2 linked regions of the Diceros bicornis minor genome follow. The protein of the gene in region 2 interacts with the protein of the main gene of each other region in a pairwise test. Links are inferred from orthologs where the notes say so. Each region holds a gene or a part of one and is shown on either strand. Other genes may lie near its edges. The genes, in order: TFCP2 and PHF1.

What was found.
Region 1: the proteins of PHF1 (region 2) and TFCP2 interact in binary tests that used the Homo sapiens proteins (3 or more experiments, as listed by UniProt). The two-hybrid records come from large-scale screens. The link is inferred for Diceros bicornis minor from reciprocal best matches to the Homo sapiens genes PHF1 and TFCP2.

The regions. Positions count from the first base shown.
Region 1 is NC_080756.1:18,721,234-18,731,360, reverse strand, and holds the start of TFCP2 (alpha-globin transcription factor CP2), read right to left. Parts: upstream 4,045-10,127; 5' UTR 3,638-4,044; coding exon 3,516-3,637; intron 1-3,515.
Region 2 is NC_080753.1:31,078,047-31,088,110, forward strand, and holds the start of PHF1 (PHD finger protein 1), read right to left. Parts: upstream 4,132-10,064; 5' UTR 3,654-4,131; intron 3,631-3,653; exon of another isoform or gene 3,400-3,630; 5' UTR 3,379-3,399; coding exon 3,306-3,378; intron 2,922-3,305; coding exon 2,746-2,921; intron 2,654-2,745; coding exon 2,572-2,653; intron 2,463-2,571; coding exon 2,367-2,462; intron 1,908-2,366; coding exon 1,807-1,907; intron 1,704-1,806; coding exon 1,555-1,703; intron 1,378-1,554; coding exon 1,282-1,377; intron 1,092-1,281; coding exon 1,023-1,091; intron 880-1,022; coding exon 756-879; intron 647-755; coding exon 579-646; intron 411-578; coding exon 306-410; intron 184-305; coding exon 1-183. Other genes in the region: kinesin-like protein KIFC1, read right to left, coding at 5,096-5,140, 7,921-7,996, 8,141-8,214, 8,316-8,606, 9,168-9,947. UniProt on the Homo sapiens protein: Polycomb group (PcG) that specifically binds histone H3 trimethylated at 'Lys-36' (H3K36me3) and recruits the PRC2 complex. Involved in DNA damage response and is recruited at double-strand breaks (DSBs).

The sequences.
Region 1 (10,127 bases), on a different chromosome or scaffold from region 2:
AGACACAAACAGAAAACATGTTCCAGGGGCCTGGCCAGTGGCATAGCGGTTAAGTTCGCACATTCCACTTTGGTGGCCCAGGGTTCGCAGGTTCAGATCCCAGGCGCCGACCAATGCACCGCTTGTCAGGCCATGCTGTGGCGGGATCCCATATAAAGTAGAGGAAGATGGGTACAGATGTTAGCCCAGGGCCAATCTTCCTCAGCAAAAAAGGAGGATTGGCAACGGATGTTAGCTCACGGCTAATCTTCCTCTCAAAAAAAAAAAAGAAAGAAAGAAAACGTGTTCCAAATGGTGGTGACGTGTTGTGCCAGAAAGCACTGAGCCTATACGAAGACATCAGCAAGGGATCCCCTGAAACGTGTGACACCAAGCCTCTTACTGCAAGAAAGGGATGGTTACACAGATTCAGGAATAGATTTGGATTGAAAGAGAGAGAGACCACATTCACATAACTTTTATTACAGTATAATAATTGTTCTATTTTATTATTAGTTATTGTTGTTAATCTCTTACTGTGAGTAACTTATAAATTAAACTTTATCGCAAGTATGTATATATAGGAAAAAACATAGTATAGGGTTTGGTACTATCCGCAGTTTCGGGCATCCACTGCGGGGTCTTGGAACGAACCCCCAGCTTATAAGGGGGGACCACTGTATATAATATATCCAGAATAGGTAAATCCATAGATACAGATTGCATATTAGTGATTAGCAGGAAGAGAGGGGAAGGGGAAATGGAGAGCAATTGCTTAACAGGTACAGGGTTTTCTTCGGGGGTGATGAAAATGTTTTGGAACTAGATAAGAGGTGGTGATTGCACAATATCATGAACATACTAAATGCCACTGAGTTGTTCACTTTAAAACGATTAATTCTACGTAATGTCAATTCCACCTCAACTTAAAAAAAAATGGAATGAGAGAAAGGGGAAAATTTAAAAAAAAAAACCACAAAATTTAATCTTTTTACTCTTTTTTTATAACAGTTCTATTGAGATACAATTTATATACCATACAATTCATCCATTTAAAGTGTGCAATTCAATTGTCTTTAGTGTGGTCACAGAGTTGTGCAACCATCATCACAATTTTAGAACATTTTTATCACCCCCCCCGAAAAAAAACCAGTACGCATTTGCAGTCATGCCCAGTCCCTCTTCCTCCACAGCTCTAGTCAACCACTAATCTACTTTCTGTCTCTATTGATTTGCCTATTCTAGACATTTCATAGAAATGAAATCAGATGTTATGTGATCTTTTGCGACTGGCTTCTTTCACTCAGCATATTTTCAGGGCATTTCCTTTATTTTAACCATAAAGTTTGTGCCATGTATTAAAACATAAGGAAAAAAGTAAGGAGAATATTCAAGGACCACTTATGAAAAGAACTTTACTGAATACAATGGCGGATCAAGAATCAAAAACAGAAATCCAGTTCAGATGAATCTTCATCAAATATAAATTAACAGATATGAAGCGAAACTATTATACCATGTAGCAGAAAATAAGCAAACTAGGGTAAAATAAATACATTAAGGAAAATATTTTACAAAACAAATTGCTTGTCAAAGAGGACATCTTGCCTAAAAAAGGTGTAGGACAAGCGATCACAAGGTCTAATTACAGGAAGAGCAAAGAATCACTGTCTTTGTGTCTAAAAACTGCTCCAGCCAGTGTTTCTCAAAACAGGGTCCCTGGACTACCTGCAGCAAAATCATCTAAGAACTTGTTTTACAAAAATCAGATTTCTGGTCTGTGCCCCAGTCACGGAAAATGGGGCCCTGGAAACTATTTTGAATAAGAACTCCAGATGATTCTCATGAATGCTCAAGTTTGACAACTAATATCTAATTAACACAAATCAATGCAAATGATTAAATGTATGTAAGAGTCAAGAGAAGTTACAAAAGCAAAATGGATGAAAAAGAGGAAGGTGAAAAAAATACTTAAAATTTTGGCACAGTGTGCTCTGGGGAAAACATAAAGTGATATTTGAAAACTCACGCGGATTTGATGATGGAAAAAAATTCTAAATGTGTACATATGCAAGCCATTCTACTAATACCTGTGAAGGCCACTCAGGGTATGACACAGGAAAATACAAATGTAAGGTTGCGTGGTAGAGAGAGCACGTAGTAGATGAGCAAATGTTTGCTGACAATGTTAACTATTTTTATAACAAGTACAGTTATATTTAATTATCTCCAACCCAAAATCCAATAACCTAGACAAAACCAAACTTTTTGCTGTAGTAATCTTTACATGAACAGCATAAACTGTCAAATATTATGTCAGATAACTGACATGCAAGCTCAGGGCTGGGACATTTACTTTCAGACCAAGTTAATCTCTATTTTTATGGTCAGACTTACGTAAACAATGACAGGCAAAACCAGAGTTAAATTCCTCAAGACTAACAGCATTGCATGATAGAACTCAAATTTCCCTAAAAATCATGAAAATATGTATACAAGGAGAGCCTTTATTATCCTAACTGTAAGCAAAGATTTCTGAAGATGAACTATTAAGTTCTAACTCGTAATTTTACTTCAGTGAGGAAAGTCGACTTTGGTTTAGCAGGGATAAAGAAAGGAAGTTTCAATTACATAACTCTCAAAGGACCTCACTATCAGATGCAGAATTTGTCCTCCATAAAAAGCGTCTTTCCCCTATAAACCCATAAACTCAATTAAAGTGTTAAGTTGTAACATCTCTTTTGACTTACTTATTTAGATTAAGCCTTAAAATGCATTTGGAACCCCAATTATATTCCATCTAACCCTAAGATGCTGGTAATTCAACATTTCCAGACGTGATTCTTGCACATCCTATAAATGAAACAAACTGCTGGGGGAATGAAATAGCTAATGCATGCAAATAAATTACACGGGAAGTTATGCTGCTTTCAAAGGAGACTTTTATTTATTATCAGCATTTAGCTTGATATACGAAGGTCTAAGCATCTAAAAGTTCTCTATGACACTTTTTCATTTCACAGCTTATGTTTCAAAAATCAGAAACCCTAGAACTAAGTAAAGTCTTAAAGTAGGCTAAAATACGGATGGGTGAACTTCTTCACCAAGGTCTCACATTTCCTCACAAAAAGCAAACAATTTTCACTAAGCCTACCTCCCAACTCCCCAACTCCCTAGATTTCTCTCACATGCTCAGTTTGGCCTCCTCTTCACACAAGTCCAGCCCAACCCATCCACACACACCATCAGTCTCCAAGTCTCCCACACCGGCACAACAACCTCTCATCTGGTTGCTAATCCAAGGCCCTTCTTTCTTCGACTTATCTTGCACAGACTTGACATGCCTACAATCTCTTGTTCCATTTCTTCCACAACAATCACTACTCAAAGCAACCTAAGAAACAAGTCCCTTTTCCCTACCCGCAGACAGCTTCTTTAACTCTATACACCTCTTTTTTTTTTTTTTTTTTTTTTCCTTATTCTCTATCCTGCCTTTGTTATTCAGAAGGTGCAGGGTCTGGGAAAATCTCACTCACCTCATGCTATAGGCACCAGCACCCAGTTCCTGGCCGATCCCGGAGAGACTAGCATCAAAGTCCTGCACCAGCCCGGATTCAATCACTTCATCGGCCAGAGGCAGCTTCAGAGCCCAGGCCATCCTGGCTCCTTCGCTGCCCCAGGAGACACCGTTTTCTTGTACAAAGGCGAGTAGTGTGATTCTACCCACCAGGGGCAAGACTGTAGAAAACTCCAAACCAAGATCTCCCACACAGTACCTACCAGCCACCCCCAAGCCCAACCCGCACTGCCCGCACAATCTAACTAACCGCCCGTACCCTTGCCTCCTTGCTCTTGGCTGCCCCGACTGAAAACCCCTCCCACCCAGCTCTCTGGAGCCGCACGAGGGCCCCTTTGCTTAACTACTCCAGACTGCCCAGAGGCAGCCCTGGACTCCCATACTCCCACTCCTTGGGTTCGTGGTGGTCACACTGCTTTCCAAACAGACCAGCAGCGGCACGCGCCGCCTACCCGGCGCTCCCACTCCGCTCTCCCACCTCTCCCCCCGCCCCCTTCCACTGGGAGCCCCCTCCCTCCGGGGACCCGCTCTCCCTGTCCCCTCCAGGCCTGGCTTCCGGTCAGTCCCAAGATCACTTCCGGTCACCCCCGCTCAACCCCACGGCTCTTAGAACCAAATCCAGGTTTCCGCCGAGCCGACTCCCCTCCCTCTGCAGCCCCCCACGGCCTCGACACATGGAAGGGAAAAGTCCGACACCGGCGTGAAACCCAGACTCGCCGAGCTCCTCCACCGCCCGCGGCCCCAGCGCCAACCAATCATGGCGCCCTCTTCCTTTGCCGGTCCGGCGAACGTGACGTCACTCTGCCGCCCGCCAATGGGGAAGAGACGTCGTCGGCCTCGGCAGTGATGATAGGCTAGCTACGACACGGCTTCCCGCCCCCCGGAGATGGGCTGGGCAATCCGGGAGAGGGCCCGGCGTGCGTCAGGTGTCCCGGTTTAAACGTCCCTCCTTGTGGCTACCTGAGTTTTGGCATCCGCTACTTACCGAGTCGGAACCCTAAGGCGTGGGTGGAGCTTTCGCTCTAGGTGTACCGAACCCACACCCAGTCCTGGCGGACGCGTGCTCGTTTCCTCCTGAGATACTCTCTGTCCTTAGACTCACTTCTCCGGAGGTCAAGACTGCTTAAATCCGATTTCCCTTGATCATTTTACTTTCTGCCTTCTTCCTAGTGCATTTGAACAGGAAAGCATGAGATGGGTGAAAGTGTTGTGGTTTTTAAAAGGTAGTGGTCTGGGGGCCTGCCCCTGGCTTAGCGGTTAAGTGCGCGTGCTCCGCTGCTGGCGGCGGGTGTTTGGATCCCTGGGGGCGTACCAATGCACCACTTCTCCGGCCATGCTGAGGCAGCATCCCACATACAGCAACTAGAACGATGTGCAGCTATGACATACAACTATCTACTGGGGCTTTGGGGGGAAAAAATAAATAAAGTGGAGGAGGATGGGCACGGATGTTAGCCCAGGGCCAGTTTTCCTCAGCAAAAAGAGGAGGATTGGCAGATGTTAGCACAGGGCTGATCTCCTCACACACACACAAAAAAAGGTAGTGGTCTAAAGATTGGAATTTGGGCTGGCATCTTCACTTACTAGTTTGGTGACTTCAGAATAATAGCTTCATCTCATTGAGATTTAGCTTCCTCATTTGAAATGTAGGAATAACCATACCTGCACCACCTTCCTCCTTTGGGGATTAAATAATAATGTCCATTGCTTATTGGGCATTAACTATATGGCAGGAACTTTATTACATTATCAGTAATCCTCAAGACAATCTTGTGACTAGAATTATCTTTCTAAAGGTAAGTGTTATGGACCTGATTTTACCAATAAGGAGAGGAGGCTAAGGGCTTAAATTGGCCAAAGCTAAATTGGTGTGCCAACTTCAGAGTTGATTCCAAAGCCTGACATTTTTCACTACAAGGCATTGCCTATATGTGAAAGTATTGGTTCATTGTATTCCACTACTGAATTTTTTACAATCTACCTTGAATTATAATTTCGTATATATCTGCCTTTTTCTCTAGACTGTGATCTCCTAAAGAATAGGGAATAAGTCTTCTTCAGGCTTGTGTTCTTAATATCTCCTAGTATAGTTCCTGCATTCAATAGGACTTTAAAAAATACTTATTGAATTTAAAAAGGAAAGAAAGAGAGGAGAGAGGTTGACATGAAGTTGACAGCATACCCCCAGTTTCAGCTACAGTCTTCTCTCTTTGAGGGCTCTAGTCTTACCCATCTTCTTACCTTAATAAGCTCTGGCATCCAAGTCTTGGCAAAATCCTTTGTATTCAAGCAGTGTATCTAGAGTATTTTAAAACATCTATTAGGTGGAACCATGCCTTGTTTGAACAACAGCTCTGTCACTAGATGCATAATCTTGGGCAAATAACTTTACATCTCTGAGCCTCAGTACTTTAATCCATAAATTAGTGAAAATAATACCTCCTCCTAAAATTGTGAGGATTAAATGAAGTGCCAAGATGCCACAAAAATAATAATTATTCAATAAATGTTAGCTCCTGTCTCCTACTACCCCATTTCCACTTCTCTGTTAAGATTGGGTTGGTATTATCATCCTATTTAAAAACATTAATTTACATTGTATGGTGTGTTATAATTTTGGTATCACTTTAATGTATATTTAATTAAAACATAATTAAATATGTCTTATTTAATCCTCATGAAAGCGTTTGTTTTGTTTTTTTACTATGCAGAAACTGAAACTAAGAGAGGGAGAGTGTTCAAGCAGACTGCAACCTCTTTAGAAACCATCCTGAGAATTATTCTGTGATTCAGCGACTCCACTCTATATATGAACCCTAGAGAACTCTTGCACATATGTACCAGGAGACTTGTATGAGAATGTTCATGCCAACACTATTTATAGCAACAAAACAGAACAAAACAAATGTCCACCAACAAGAGAACGGATAAATTGGCGTGGGATAGAAGATTATACAGCAGTAAAAATGAATAAAACTTTAAAAAATGAATAAAGCTATACTCAACCAAGTGAATAAATCAATCTTAGAAACGTGGGGGAAAATGGGGAAGTCCTCATGCAGTGTAACATCGTTTTATAAAGCTCAAACCCCAGCAAAATTAAGCAATATATCATTTAGGGAAATATACACACATTCCTTTAAAAAAGGAAGGAAGGGGCCGGCCAGGTGGTGTAGTGGTTAGGTTCAGATCCTGGGCGCAGACCAACGCACCGCTTAACAAGCCATGCTGTGGCAGCGTCCCATATAAAGTAGAGGAAGATGGGCACAGATATTGGCCCAGGGCCAATCTTCCTCAGCAAAAAGATGAGGATTGGGAACAGAAGTTAGCTCAGGGCTGATCTTCCTCACAAAAAAAAAGGGGGGGGGGCGTGAAAAGATAAACAAGACTCTGTGGTGGCCACATATAAGAAAATGTGGTGGGGGTGGTGGGGTGCTGGTAGAGGAGGAACTCAAAAGTAGCTTCAACAGTGGTAGTTAAGTTGAGTGGTGGTGTTACGAATTTCACCTCACTCACACTCAGAGGAGCTCCAAGGAGGGGCCCACATGTGGGCCCTGTACCCACAATCTGTCCCTTCCTTGAAGGGTTCTTTCCTATTTGGTGTCGCAGATGTGAAATGACATAGAAGCTGAGAGGTCAGCGGCACAAGCTTTGTTCAATGGTCAAAGAATGGAAAAGCGGGACCTAAGTTCACAAATCCACTTGTCAGCTCCTGGGGTGATTAAGCAGCTGTTATAAGGGGTCTAGGTAATGAAGGGGAGGAATATTCATAGTTATTTGGGGAAATGGGCAGGCTTTTCTGGGGAGCGAGGGTGCCTCCTCTTTTCTTATTTGGTTATATCCTGCGGTTGCCATGGCAGTTGTAAACTGTCATGGCGTCGGTGTGTGTGTTCTGTAATGTGGTAATGTACTATAATGAGCATATGAGGAGCTGTGGGGTCTATGTCAGGTCAAGTCGGACTGCCATGTTGCCTTCAACCGGTTTTAACTGGATTTGACCTATGTCTCAGCCATCTCCTCCTTCCTCTCTTTGTGGTTTCCTGTAAGTTAAAGAGAACGTGTTAGGCTTGTTCTGAGCAGGGTTGTGGTTAACGCCTTATGAGGTCAGTGGGCCAGGTAACAGTAGATCTGTGAGTTATTATTTGTTTCATCATTTTGCTTCATAAATTACCCAAAAAGTGTGGTCTTGAATATGTAACAAATATTACGTAAATTAGCAGCTGAGCCAGGAACTACAGTCCAGGTCCCTGATTCTTATAGCTGAGATCTGCCTACAGTGATGCCTCCCTGCTGGTGGTACAGTCCTAGGAACTGTCCAGACACAGAGCAAATAATAGCTGATAATAATGACAGGCCCGTATCTACTGAGCCCTTCCTAAGTGCCAAACCCTGACTAGGTTCTTTACGTATATTATCTCATTTCATCCTCACATCACCACTGGAAGGAAGGTACCATTATTAAACTTATTTCATAGATAAGGAATGTGAGGCTTAGAAAAATTGATTGGCCCATCCAGGGTCACCCAGCTTGAGAGTGGTGAAGCCTCACTGATTGACCACGCAGTCTGGGCGTCTAACCATCACGCCACGCTGTGCGTGTGGATGCTTATAACCTAAAAAATACCTGCTTCCTACCTATCCTTCTTTTCAGAGATGAATTTTGAAGCTTGTGGGGTGAGAGAATTGAATTTTCAGAAAACTGTAGCCCATGAAGGAATATTGGATGGAGCATGTTTTCCCTACACAGAAAAATAGCTTAAAGGAAATGGATTTAAAATACAACAAGGAGTATTCACATTAGATGTTTGGAAGAGATGATTGTGCCATATCCAGGAGTCTCATGGAACCCTGTCCTCTGGAAAATACTTAGAAAAAAACAGACATGTACTTCTTGGAAATGTTTGAGCCTAAGTTTAAATTCTGAACCAAAATAAAGATTTCACGAAGGTCCTGCTTACCATTTATTAATTCTAAAGTAAACCGAGGTGAATTGAAAGGTGACTCTTAAGCTTTGACCCCTCCCAAGTGGAATGCAGATCAGTCTTGAGATTTATGCCCTTGAACTCGGTTCTCCTGAGGAGAGAAGACCTTACAGACTGTTTACGCCTGGAATTCTGTGAGTTGGGGGAGTACACTTTTTCCTTCCTTATCTTCCCCAAATGTAACCAAGAGCAAAATTGGAGTGCCAGGGCTGGAAACAGGGATTCCAGTGGCAGGCTGGGGGATCTGCCTCCAAGAAAAGACCTCCAGGTGTTCCCCTGGAAATCCAGAAACACCTATCAATAAACCAAATTTTTGTACCCATAAATTCATCCCACAACAAAAATCATGGCTCCTATTAGACCTAATAAATATGACTAATTAACCACAGCACCTGTGGCACAGAGCTCCAAATTTGGTGTTCTGGACCGTTGGGTGAAGTTAGGGCTCATTGTGAAGGGTTCATTTCCCTGGATTAGGTCCTGAAACTAGACACTGTGTAGATGGAACATAGCAGAGCCTACACTGGTGGGGGGAAACATGTGGAAATCCTACCAAAAAGATCAAGATAGACAGCAATCCTCAGGTCCCACCCTGTATGGGCTAAGGTTAAGCACACAGGCTTTAGAGACAGCCCACCTGGGTCTAAGACTTCCTTCTGCTGCTCAAAAACAAAGCAACCCTGAGTAAATTCCCCATCTTTTCTATTCCTCAATTCCTTATCTGTAAAATGGGCATAATAATAGTTCTTAATTTATAGAATGATGGTGAGAAGTAACTGAAATAATGCACGTTAAGTGCTTAGAAGAGTGCCCAGCACATAGTCAGTGATCAGTACAGGTTAGCTATTGTTATGATTGACAGAAAAGGGACCCTAGCACTTGTCCTGCCTACCTCTGAAGACAAATCAATTGTCTCAGAGGCTTGAGGGCTCAAGCTCCTTGGATCAGCACCCATCCATCCCCTAGGCTTCCCTTCTCACCCATTTGCTCAAGTCAGTCACTGTTGCTGGGTTCCCAGGTCAATCACTGGGCATTTTCCTCCAGATACAGGAAGGAACCCTCATTCAGGCAGGGTTTTTGAGGGACTGACAATCTAGCTTTAATTCTTCCCATCTTCTTACATCCCACCCAGGGAGCCTGTGAGGCCCAGTCTGGCTTCTTTAAAGGACTCTGCAGTTGAGAGAAAAGGAAATCAAAAGTTTTCACGGTCACACAGTTCCATGCAACCTCAGGTTCCCTTCATCTCTCATCTCGACTCCAGAAACCAGCTCACATCTTCTCCAGTCCATAAAAGGTTAGTTCCCCCTTCACTGCTGTCCACAGCATGCTGGACATCTGCCATATTGTGATTTATAAGAACTAGATATATTTAGTCATTCAGATGACCAAAATGTGTTTCTCGTATTTGGTCTTCATCCACAATTCCTGGCTCACAGCTCCCAAAACCCTTGGAATTTCTTGAGCCATAAGAGCAATGGGAACATCTTTTGTTATAATCTTTGATCTCTTGTCCTCAGTTCCTGAAAACAGGAACTGTTTGAAAATGAAATGGGTGTCTTGTTCATAACAAGCCCTGTTCCACCACAACT
Region 2 (10,064 bases):
GCCCTCTGCAGACGAGCCCGCTCCCTCTGCTCCTGGGGCTTGGGCTGATTGCGCACTGCTGAGGGTGGCCCCAGCTCCTCCATTTTCCCCTTCTGCCTCCTCCTCAGGGGCTCTGGCTCCGGCCTCCGGCGCTTCCCCAGGGGACGTGAGACCCCTCCCCCAGGGCCCTGCCCTGAAGGGAAGCTGTAAGAGGCCTCCTTATCCCCCCAGCCCCCTCCCGGACACCCCAAAGACCTCCCCATCTCCATACATATACCCCCAGATTAATACCCTGAGAATTTCCCCATCCCCCCTGGACCAGTGACCTGGTGGGGGCTCCATCTCCAGTAGGGGGCTCCACAGGGGGAGGGATCCGAGCATGGAGACCAAACAAGCATTTCCTCTTCTTAATCTCCCTCCCTGAAATGAAACTGGGGTGAGGAGAGAAATGACATAGGGTCAGTGCTGTAGAAAAGCGCCCCTCTGATGCCATTATTCAGTCCTTTTCAGAGATGATCTTCCAGGTAAGTTGTGGCCTCTCCCTTCCCAGGCTTCCATATCCATATCTCCATCTCTTTCTGAGCCTCCTTCCAACTTACCGGTCCTTGTGGCTGTTGAGAGCAGATAGGAGCTTGGAAGAACGTTCTCCCTTGGGGGTGTCTGAGAGCTGGGAAAGCGGAAAGAAAATGGGATCAGGGGAGCAGTGATCCCTCCCTTCCCCTATTCTTCACATCTCCTTGTTTCACCCTAACCCCCAAAGCTTCACTACCCCTTACCTCCCCAAGGAGCAAACTGTCCCAATTCTCAGAGGTGAAGGGGAGGATCTCGCGGTCAAAATCAAAATATTTTTTCTTACAGCAAACGCTGAGGTGATAGAGGACAAGATGGGCCACATCCACCCTGCAGAAACATTGAGTTGTCAGGGTTGTGGAAGCATTACAAAAGCCAAGGGAGTCCTGAGGTGGAAGGTTGGGGCATGTAGGGTGAAATACTGGGGCTGTTGAGAGAGGAGTTATGCTGAGGTTGTGCCCAATCCAGCTCACCAGCGAAGCTGTAGCCTCCTGACCTTCTCCGGGCCCCCCCGACACACACAGCATTCAAACTCATAGAACCTGGATGTGGACAAGAGGGAGAGAACACCCCTTACACAGGAAAACTGTACCATGCTACGGAGGACTCACAAGCAAGGATGGGGCGAACAGGTGGGGGAAAGCTTCAGAGGTTGGGAAGAGAAGGGATCTGAGAGGGTGGAGCAGAGCAGGAGGGCTCCCTCGGCTCCTGGAGAGTCTGCCCTGGTCTCACCTGTCCCCATAGAGGAGGGGCTTGCTCAGACACTGGGTGCAGGCCTCGTGGAACCATTGCAGGCAGCTCCGGCACTGTAGCATTTTCAGGTTCCACCTGAAGGGGAGCCAGGACTAATGACCTCCAGACACTTCCCCCCTTAACTGACCCAAACCACCTACTTTCATCCCCTTCAGCACTCCCCTTGCCTTGTTTTTTATCCTTCACTTCCTGGGATTCCCCCCACCACCACATCACACTCATTCCTTAACCCCCCCGCCCCTCATAACTCACTCCCCAGGGCCACCACAGTAACAGTAGCTCTGTTGCCGGTTGCTCAGATGTCCAGCGTCCCAGTCCAGCCCCTTTAGTCCGTATGGCAGAGAGAGCTTCATGCCCAGCATGGCACGGGCATAGGGGCCCTTCTTCAGTGCACCACCCCTCTGCAGAGACAGAACAGGCACGCCAGGCACCTCAGAGGAGTGGGGACAGGAAAGGCTTGGGAGAGGATGTGGGTGGCAGGCTCCCACAGGAAGGTGCCTTTACCTTGGTGGCGATGGCAAAGACACACTGGCGGCAGACCCAGGATGTGCCCTCTCCCTCTCCAGGGGCTGGGGCCCTTGGAACATGGCAGTCCTGGTGATAAGCTGAATAATGATAATATTGATGGTTGACCACTTATTGCAACTGGTATGTGCATGTGTATGCAACCTGTGTGTGCAAGGTATTGGAACAGGAAGTCTTATCCATCTCATTTAATCCTTGACCATGGTCCTGCTGGGGTGGGTGTATTGCCCTTATTTTACAGGTAAGGGAACTGAGGCTCCTAGAAGTTTAGGGACTTGCCCAAGGTCATATGACTAGAAAAGAGTGTATTTGAACCACCCTCTGCACACAAAGCTCACACATCCCCATTCCATGGCTGCCTCTTGCTGTGCTAGAAAGGAATGAGCTTACAGGGTTGAGGAGACTGGCAAGAGCAGTGGCAGTAGCCGGGGGACTCAGGCCAGGACAGGTGGCATAAGGACCAGTGCTGGAGGGAGGAGTCAGAAGTAGCCTGGAAGGCCCAGGGCAAGCTGGACAATTCAGGTGTCCTGCCCTCTCACCGTGGCGACACTTCTCACAGCTGACCAGCCGGTTCCCAGGGACCACGGTCTCAGAGCGACAGACACAGCAGAGGAGTTCCTCCCCAGGGAGAGCAGCTGTGAAGGAACACAGTGTCAATGGGCCTGTGCTTGAGCCCCTTGCTGTCCCCCAAGCCAGTTTTCTGTTTTCTGTGGGATGTACACTCTGAGGCCTTGGGGATCTCACCAGGGCTAATATCTTTCCATAGAACCAGAAACTGAGAATCATCCTCAAACTGGACCAGACACACCTCCCGAACGCTGTCCACCTGGAATGGGTGAGCACAGAGGATGAAACAGGAATCAGAAGTAGATAAGGGGAATGGGGAAAAGGAAACAGGTCAGAGGTCAAAGGTCTTACCTTCTTGATGGTCCCCAAGTATAGAAGCCCATCTGTCCATCTGGCCAGCACATCTTGACCCTCCCAAAGTCGAGGCCTGGGGCCTGAGGTGGGAGCAGGGGAAGCTGGATCCCAAAGAGGGAGGGCACCAGAGCGGCTCAGCCGGGGGGGCTGTGCCATTGCATCCTGGGGGGGGCCTAGCCAGAAGTGGGATGGGAGGAGGAGGAGGTTATGAATGCTGAGAGACTGGCCCCATTTTGTTTGCCTATGTTTCTTTCAAGGTCTCAGGCGGCTGTGCCCCCAGTCTCTAAATCCCTGAGACATCTGGATAGGAAACCTCTCGGCACCCCTCCCAAGCTTCTTGACTCTAGTTCTCCCAACTCTAGTGACTGGCTCTCCTTTCCCTAACCAGCCCCCCAACCTAGTTGTCTAGTTTCCCAGCTTCCAGAGCTCCCCTGGGATATTATATCCTGGCCTGAGATTTCAGCAGAAACGATGGTTGCAGAAGCAAAGGTTACCACTCAGTTTCTACTGTCACCTTCTCTTGCTGTTGAGAGGTATCATAATTGGGGTGCTGTTACCCAGAGATGTGTTTTGGGAGCTTTTCGGGAGATGTTTTCCAGAGTAGAAACAGCTGCCTCCCGGGGCCGGCATGTCTCATTCAGAACAATCATCCTGGTGCCAGGTTACATCAGGTCACCCTCAAATTCGGGGCTCCCTGCCCCCGGGTTAGATAAGTTCCCTGAGTGCCCCGGGAGGGGGGCGTGTCCCAGTCCCGGTCTCTACTCCCCATGACGGCGAGTCCGAGAGGGGACTTGAGTCGGCCCAGCCGGACCCGATGCCAGAGCGGCGAGGCTCTCCCGCCCGCGCCCTGCGCGCCGACCCCCGGCTCCCTGCCCCCCCACGGGCGCCTCCCGCCGCCTCCTTACCAGTGACAGCTGGGGCCGCCGAGAGCCGGGCAGTGGCAGACGTGGGAGACCGAGGCGAACCCCCCGCGCGAGGAGGGCACGTCTGGGCGTCGGGGGGCGTGCAGGCAGAGGCCGGGGGGTCCCCAGGCCCAGCCCCTCCGTCCCGGCGGCTCTGGGGCGTATGACGCAGCAGCCAAAGCAGCGGCAGCGGCAGGAGGAGGCGGCGGGGGAAAGGAGGGGAGAGGAGGGGAGGGACAAACCGGCTCGGGGGGAGGGTGGTGGGAGGGGAGGACTGGGGGGAAGGAGGAGCCGGGAGGGGGGGCGGAGAGGCGGGCACCACCTCACCCCACCTCCCTCACCTCCAACAGGCCTGGAGGGCGCCGAGCAAGCGGCGGCCTCTCCGCAGCTGAGCCGGGCGGACGGTCGGACCCCGCGGGAGAGGGAATCCCCGCAGCCCCTTCCTCCGAAGGGAGACCCGCCCTCGGGGCAGGAGGGAATCCCCCCTCCCGGCAACCCGCCTTCGGACTGGCCCCCGCCCCATGCCACATCCGTTAACTGCCCCCCCCACCTCCACGGTCACTCCAAGCCCCGCCCCTCGGCCCCAGTTCACGACCCCGCCCTCCAGTCACCCTTCCCATTGCCCCCGCCACGCCCTCCTCCATCCGTTGCCCCCGGCCCCGCCCTCCCCGTGGCAAGTTGTCCCCCCGCCACTGCCGCGCTTCTGCGCACGCGTGACCCCTCCCGCGCGCGGCACCTGGGAGCACTGAGCCCCTCCTTCATGGGGCGGCGGCCGTTGGCGGTTGGCGCGAGGGATTCGGCGGGCGTGCGTCCCGCCCCGCGCTTCCAGGGCGGGGGCACGGACCAGGAGGTTCGTACCGAGGCGGTGACGCCACCTAGAGCCAGCCAATGGGCAGCGGGCGGGGCCGGCCCTGGCCGTTCGAACGGGAAGGCAGGGAAAGGGCGGGAGAAAAGAGCCAGCAGTTTGTGGGAGGGCGCGCCGGTCCCGCCCCTGGGCTCGGGTGCCCACCTTCCCACAGCTACCGCAGGAGCATTCCTGCCCGGGGCTGGCGTGGCCCGTGCAAGGGGGAGCCCCAACTAGTGACTGTGGATGGCTAGCGGGCACATATCCTGGATGTGGACGACGGGGGAGGGCATGGGAGCTGAAGGCCACCCAGACTCCAGGGGACGGCATGTCAGGGAGAAAAGCCAAGCCCTCGCTCGGCAAAACACAAATGCTTGGCCGACTGGCCAGACCCATAGTTCTCATCTTTACAGATAAGAAAAATATCTCCCTTCTTGGGCAACAGCTAATACAACCTTTATTTTTAAAAAAACAACAAAAAACTGTTCTTTATTTGATAGGCCCAGGTAACACAGCGCCCCCTCCCAACGAAGCATCCCTCAGCCTCCCACTCCGTCCCCGCCCCCCCCCCCCGCCCCCCACAGAGGATCTGGATCTGTCTTCATTTCCTGTTGGCCTGGGCAGTACCAATAACACACTGGTTCACCTGTGGGCAGGTTTAGACAGGATAAAAAAATTTTCAGAGTAACCAAAAGAATAGTTTTCCCAAGATCACCTCCCAACCCACACTATTAGGGCTGCCCTCAGAGAATACTGAAATAACAGCTCTGAAGGCAGGTTCGGGCTGGTCTCAGTTACAGTGAGTTCTGTGCCCACTAGGCACACCAGATCTGGAAGAGGTGAAAAGGCCTGAGAAGGGATGGCAGCCCCACACAACAGCAGAGAGGAGCTTCCATTTCTAGAGATACTGTGGACTAGAGACCCCAAAGCCCTCCCACTACTAATGCTTAATATGCTAGATAAAGCAATAACAACACTCATTTAGGAACCAAGGCTCCTTGGAAAATGAATGATTCCAAGTCTAGGGCAGGAAATGTACAAGATGAATCTGGAACAAAGATTACTGGGAACTTGTCTAAAGGACACAGGAGCCAACTTGAAGGAGCTCCCACTGGCCAAAGATGCAACAATTTGAGCATCAGAAAGAACAACTGCAAAGGATATCTATCAAATACACAAGCATCTGTAAAATGATACCCCCAGATAAAAATTCACTGGTTACCTTTGGAAGTTGCCAGGATATCAACTTAACATACTGAAAATTGATAAAGAATCCAGCATTTATCCTGCCTTTCTTCTAGGGACTGAGTTTCAGAATAACCAGATAGATAGCAAGGGGAAGTTCTTTAGAGAAGAATTATGACTAATAAATATAGAACAATTTGAAAATCACCATTTTAAAACTTACTAATGAAATAACAGATCTAGGTATGATCATTGTTTGATAAAACCACTAGGTGAAAAAGTCAATAGGGAGTTTTAAAATGGACAGATCAGACTGACAACACCAAAATCCAATGATCCATTTTTCTATCATTAAAACTGGAACAACTAGATATTAGGTGCCTCCTGATATGATGCAATAGAAAGTGTACCACACCATCTAACTTTTCTTGCCAAAAAATCTGAGCCTGATTCAAATCTAATCAAGCCTCTAAATCTAACTACCAGATAACAAAAATTATGGAGAAAAAAGGAAGCAATAAACCAAAATCCAGAATGTAGTATATTGTATAGGACAAATGACCCTATTTCTTCAACAAATAAATGCCAAAAAGGGGGTGCAGTTTCTATAGACTTAAATTTCTTTTAGAGACAATTTCAACCAAATGAAAGGGGTAGCCCTTGCTTAAATCCTGATTGGAACAAACCTAATGTATAAAAGAGATAATCAGGTGAAATTTAACATAAACTGGGTATTAGAAGATATTAAAGAGTTCAAGTTGTTGGGTATTCATGATGTTGATATAACTTTATTGAACTTGCAAGACAGCACGGGAAATCCTGATCAAAGCACAAGACCAGGGCAGGTGCTGAGGCGGCTGACTATGTCCATGGCAGCAACCGGGGCTGAAGCCCAAGAGCAGCAGGGCTCACCATCAGAGACCCTAGGTAAAGCCAGGACCCATCGTAGGGCTGTACTCTCAGGAAAACGAGTAAACAGAGGAAAAAATGACCCTCCAGAGGCAGACGGTAAAGAAACTTTCTGACTTAACTCTAGTGGAGGGGAGCATAAGTCTCCTAGAGATTAATGGCCATGGCCACAGCCAACCCTCATGGGGTTTGGAGCCTGAATTGACACTATTTGGAATGGTCTGAAAAACCTTTAAGTCTCCTTTGATCCAGCAATCCCATTTCAAGGAATCTCCCCCTAGATAGTTAGATGCAACTAAACAAATACAGAATGACATATGTACAAGATTAGTCAATACGGCCTTGCCTGTAACAGAAAAAAGGTGGAAACAATCGAAGTGTCCAGTGGAGGGAACTGGTGGATAAACTTTGGTGCATCCACACAATGGAGTCCCAGGCAGACATAAGAATAATGGGATGATCTCTGTGTGCTGGTGGGGAGTAATCCTGGGGCTGTCTTGTTAAGCAAAATGCAGCGCGGAACAACATATATATGAGACAGAGAGGATGAGGGATGTCTTTTATATAAGAAGGAGAGGAATAAGCACATGCATATTGCTTGTAGTTGCAAAAAGAAACATTGGAAGGATAAGTAAAATGATAAATGATAAAAATGACTCCCTCTCCTAGGACAGGAAGGGAAGATGGGGTGGAAGCAGTGGTGGTAAAACTTCATTTGTTGTGTATAGCTTTCTATATAGTTTTGACCTTCCTTTTAACGACCTATTTTTAAAAACTTAATTAAAAATCCCCAAAAGCCAATACATAAAAAATGGATCCAAGCAACTAGAAGGATGTGCAGCTATGACATACAGCTATCTACTGGGGCTTTGTGGGGAAAAACAAATAAATAAATAAAATTATTAAAAAAAAAAAAATGGGGGGCCGGCCTGGTGGCGCAAGCGGTTGAGTGCGCGCGCTCCGCTGCGGCGGCCCGGGGTTCGCTGGTTCGGATCCCGGGCGCGCACCGACGCACTGCTTGGTAGGCCATGCTGTGGCGGCGTCCCATATAAAGTGGAGGAGGATGGGCACGGATGTTAGCCCAGGGCCGTCTTCCTCAGCAAAAAAGGAGGAGGATTGGCGGATGTTAGCTCAGGGCTGATCTCCTCACAAAAAAAAAAAAAAAAAAAAAAAAAAAAAATGGATCCAGGTGGGTAGTGCCTCAGATGCCTGGCAAATATAAATCCTTTCTGGATGAATGTGCCTCCTGGCCTAGAGGACAGAAGGGGTCAAGATGGAGAAGCCTTACAATGCAGGGGTCCTGACAGGGCCTGGGCTTGCTGGTAAACGCACCTTGGAGGCAAAGCGTAGGGAGTTGAGGGACTCGGAGACATTCTCTTCTAGGGGGGAAATGTTCACAAACATGAGCCTGTGGAGAGAGGAAAGGGGGCCGAACCCCAGGATCAGCGGCTGGGCGGAGCCTAGACCAGGTCTCCACTGTTTCCCCTTTCCCACCCCTGACCCCAACATCACAGTTCCCACCTGACCCCTTCCGCGTGTCTCTATCACTCACATCTTAGCACTGCCACCCAGAGAGTTCTGCAGCAAGTAGGTGAGCTTGCTGTTCCGGTAAGGTATGTGGGACTCCTAGAGGATTGAGGGGGACAGATGATTAGGAGAGGACAGGGTTCAGCATGGCCAGCCCCAACCTATCACCAGGTTCCAGCTGCCCCCTCCCCCATTCCCACCTTGTTGCTCAAGGCCATGATGACCAGCCCCAGCGTGGACAGGCTGCTGTTAATGGCCTGTGTTTCCCGAAGGCGTTCCCGCTCCCCAGGGCCAAGGGCTAAGCCGGGGTCTAGCCGCTCGCTCCCGGCCAGGTCCACAAGACTGAGGGGGGCCCCGCACTGCAGGCCTCGTGCAGCATGCTCCCCAGAGATCTGCAGCTGGAACACACTGTGACTGCGTGATGACCGCTCGTTCTGGGCTGTGCGGGCTACAGCCCGGTTCTGGCGGGCCAGATGGAGCAGGGCCTCCACCTGGGGATGGGGAGCAGCAAGGGGCAAAGGCAGGCAGGAAGTCAGTACGCAGTGATGTCAAGTATGGCATTGAACGAGAGTCAGCACCTGCCCTCTTAGACCTTTCTTTCTAGCCAGTGAAGAGACAAAAGAAATAAGTAAAATGCACAGTATGTCTGAGAGTACTAAGGAGTAAAATAAAACATAAAAATAGTGTATGAGGGTGGGGTGAAGGTTGTGATTTTAGTCAGGATGGCCAGGGACAGCCCAGAGTGTGACTGGCGGGCAGAGGAACAGCCAGGAGGCCAGCATGGCTGCAGTGAATTGGGCAAGGAAAGTAGTAGGACATGAGACCTGGGATGCAACAGGCAGGGGGCCAGCGACACCCCCCTTCAGCAGATGCATCACTCCTCTCCACTCCCTGGTTCTATTAAGGCAGATCCACCTTACAGCCCACCAGCTGAAACTGCATGTGGCAACCTATCCTTCAACTTTCTCCTGCTCCCTTCTCTATCCACCTCCATCTCGTGTCACCCTGCCACTCCTCCCCATTTTCCAGTCCCAGTGCCCATCAGTGCTTACCTCTTTCTCACAGGAGACAGGAACATATCGGGCATTGGTGACAGTAAGCTCCTCGCTCCCTGGCCCCGCCCGGCGAATCTCACACTCACCCCCCTGGCCCTTCCGTGTCCCAGTGGCCAGCAGGTCTCGGACAGTCTCATTGTAGATCTCTACATAGCTTGCCACAAAGCTGTAGGTCCATCCCTGGCCACTCAGCTCCTGAGCCATGGAGAAGAGGTGCCGCAGGGCCCGAGGGATCAGCCCCTCCACCTGGGGGTCTCCCCCAGGTCCCCCCTCCATTGTGAAGGTCTTGCCGCTGCCTGTCTGGCCGTAGGCAAAGATGCATACTGGGTAGCCATCCAGGGCTGACTGGACAAGCATGGCAATCTCCTCAAACACTTCGTCCTGTCCACTCCCTGGTGGGAATACCCGGTCAAAGGAGAAGTCATGGCGGGTGGGGGGGGCTGGTGCCCCACTCAGGGTCCCACGCCGCTCATCAGACCGGGATAGGCTGAGGCGGGTTGGAAGATCAGAGAGCCCACCAGGGCCGGAGGGAAAGAGAAGGAAGCCAGGGGGTGGCGTGGCTTCCCCTGGAAGGACAGGGCGGACCCGGCAGAACACTCGGATGTTGCCTTTGAGTTCCTGTAGCTGGTTGTGTAGTCGCCGGCGCTCCATCTCTAGCCCATGGAGACGTTCTCCCCGCTCAGCCAGTAGGGCCGCCTGGGCCACAGCCTCCTGCCGCAGAGATGCCACCTCTGCTTGGCTGCCTGACAGAGCTGCTTCTGATGTCTGCAGCTTCCTCTGCCCAGAACAGAAGAGACAAAGAGGGTGAGATGCCACCAAGAATAAGAACAAGTCATGATGGGGTGGGGGATGGAGGTGGGGTGGGGGTAGAGGCGGGGTGGGGGGTGGAGGCGG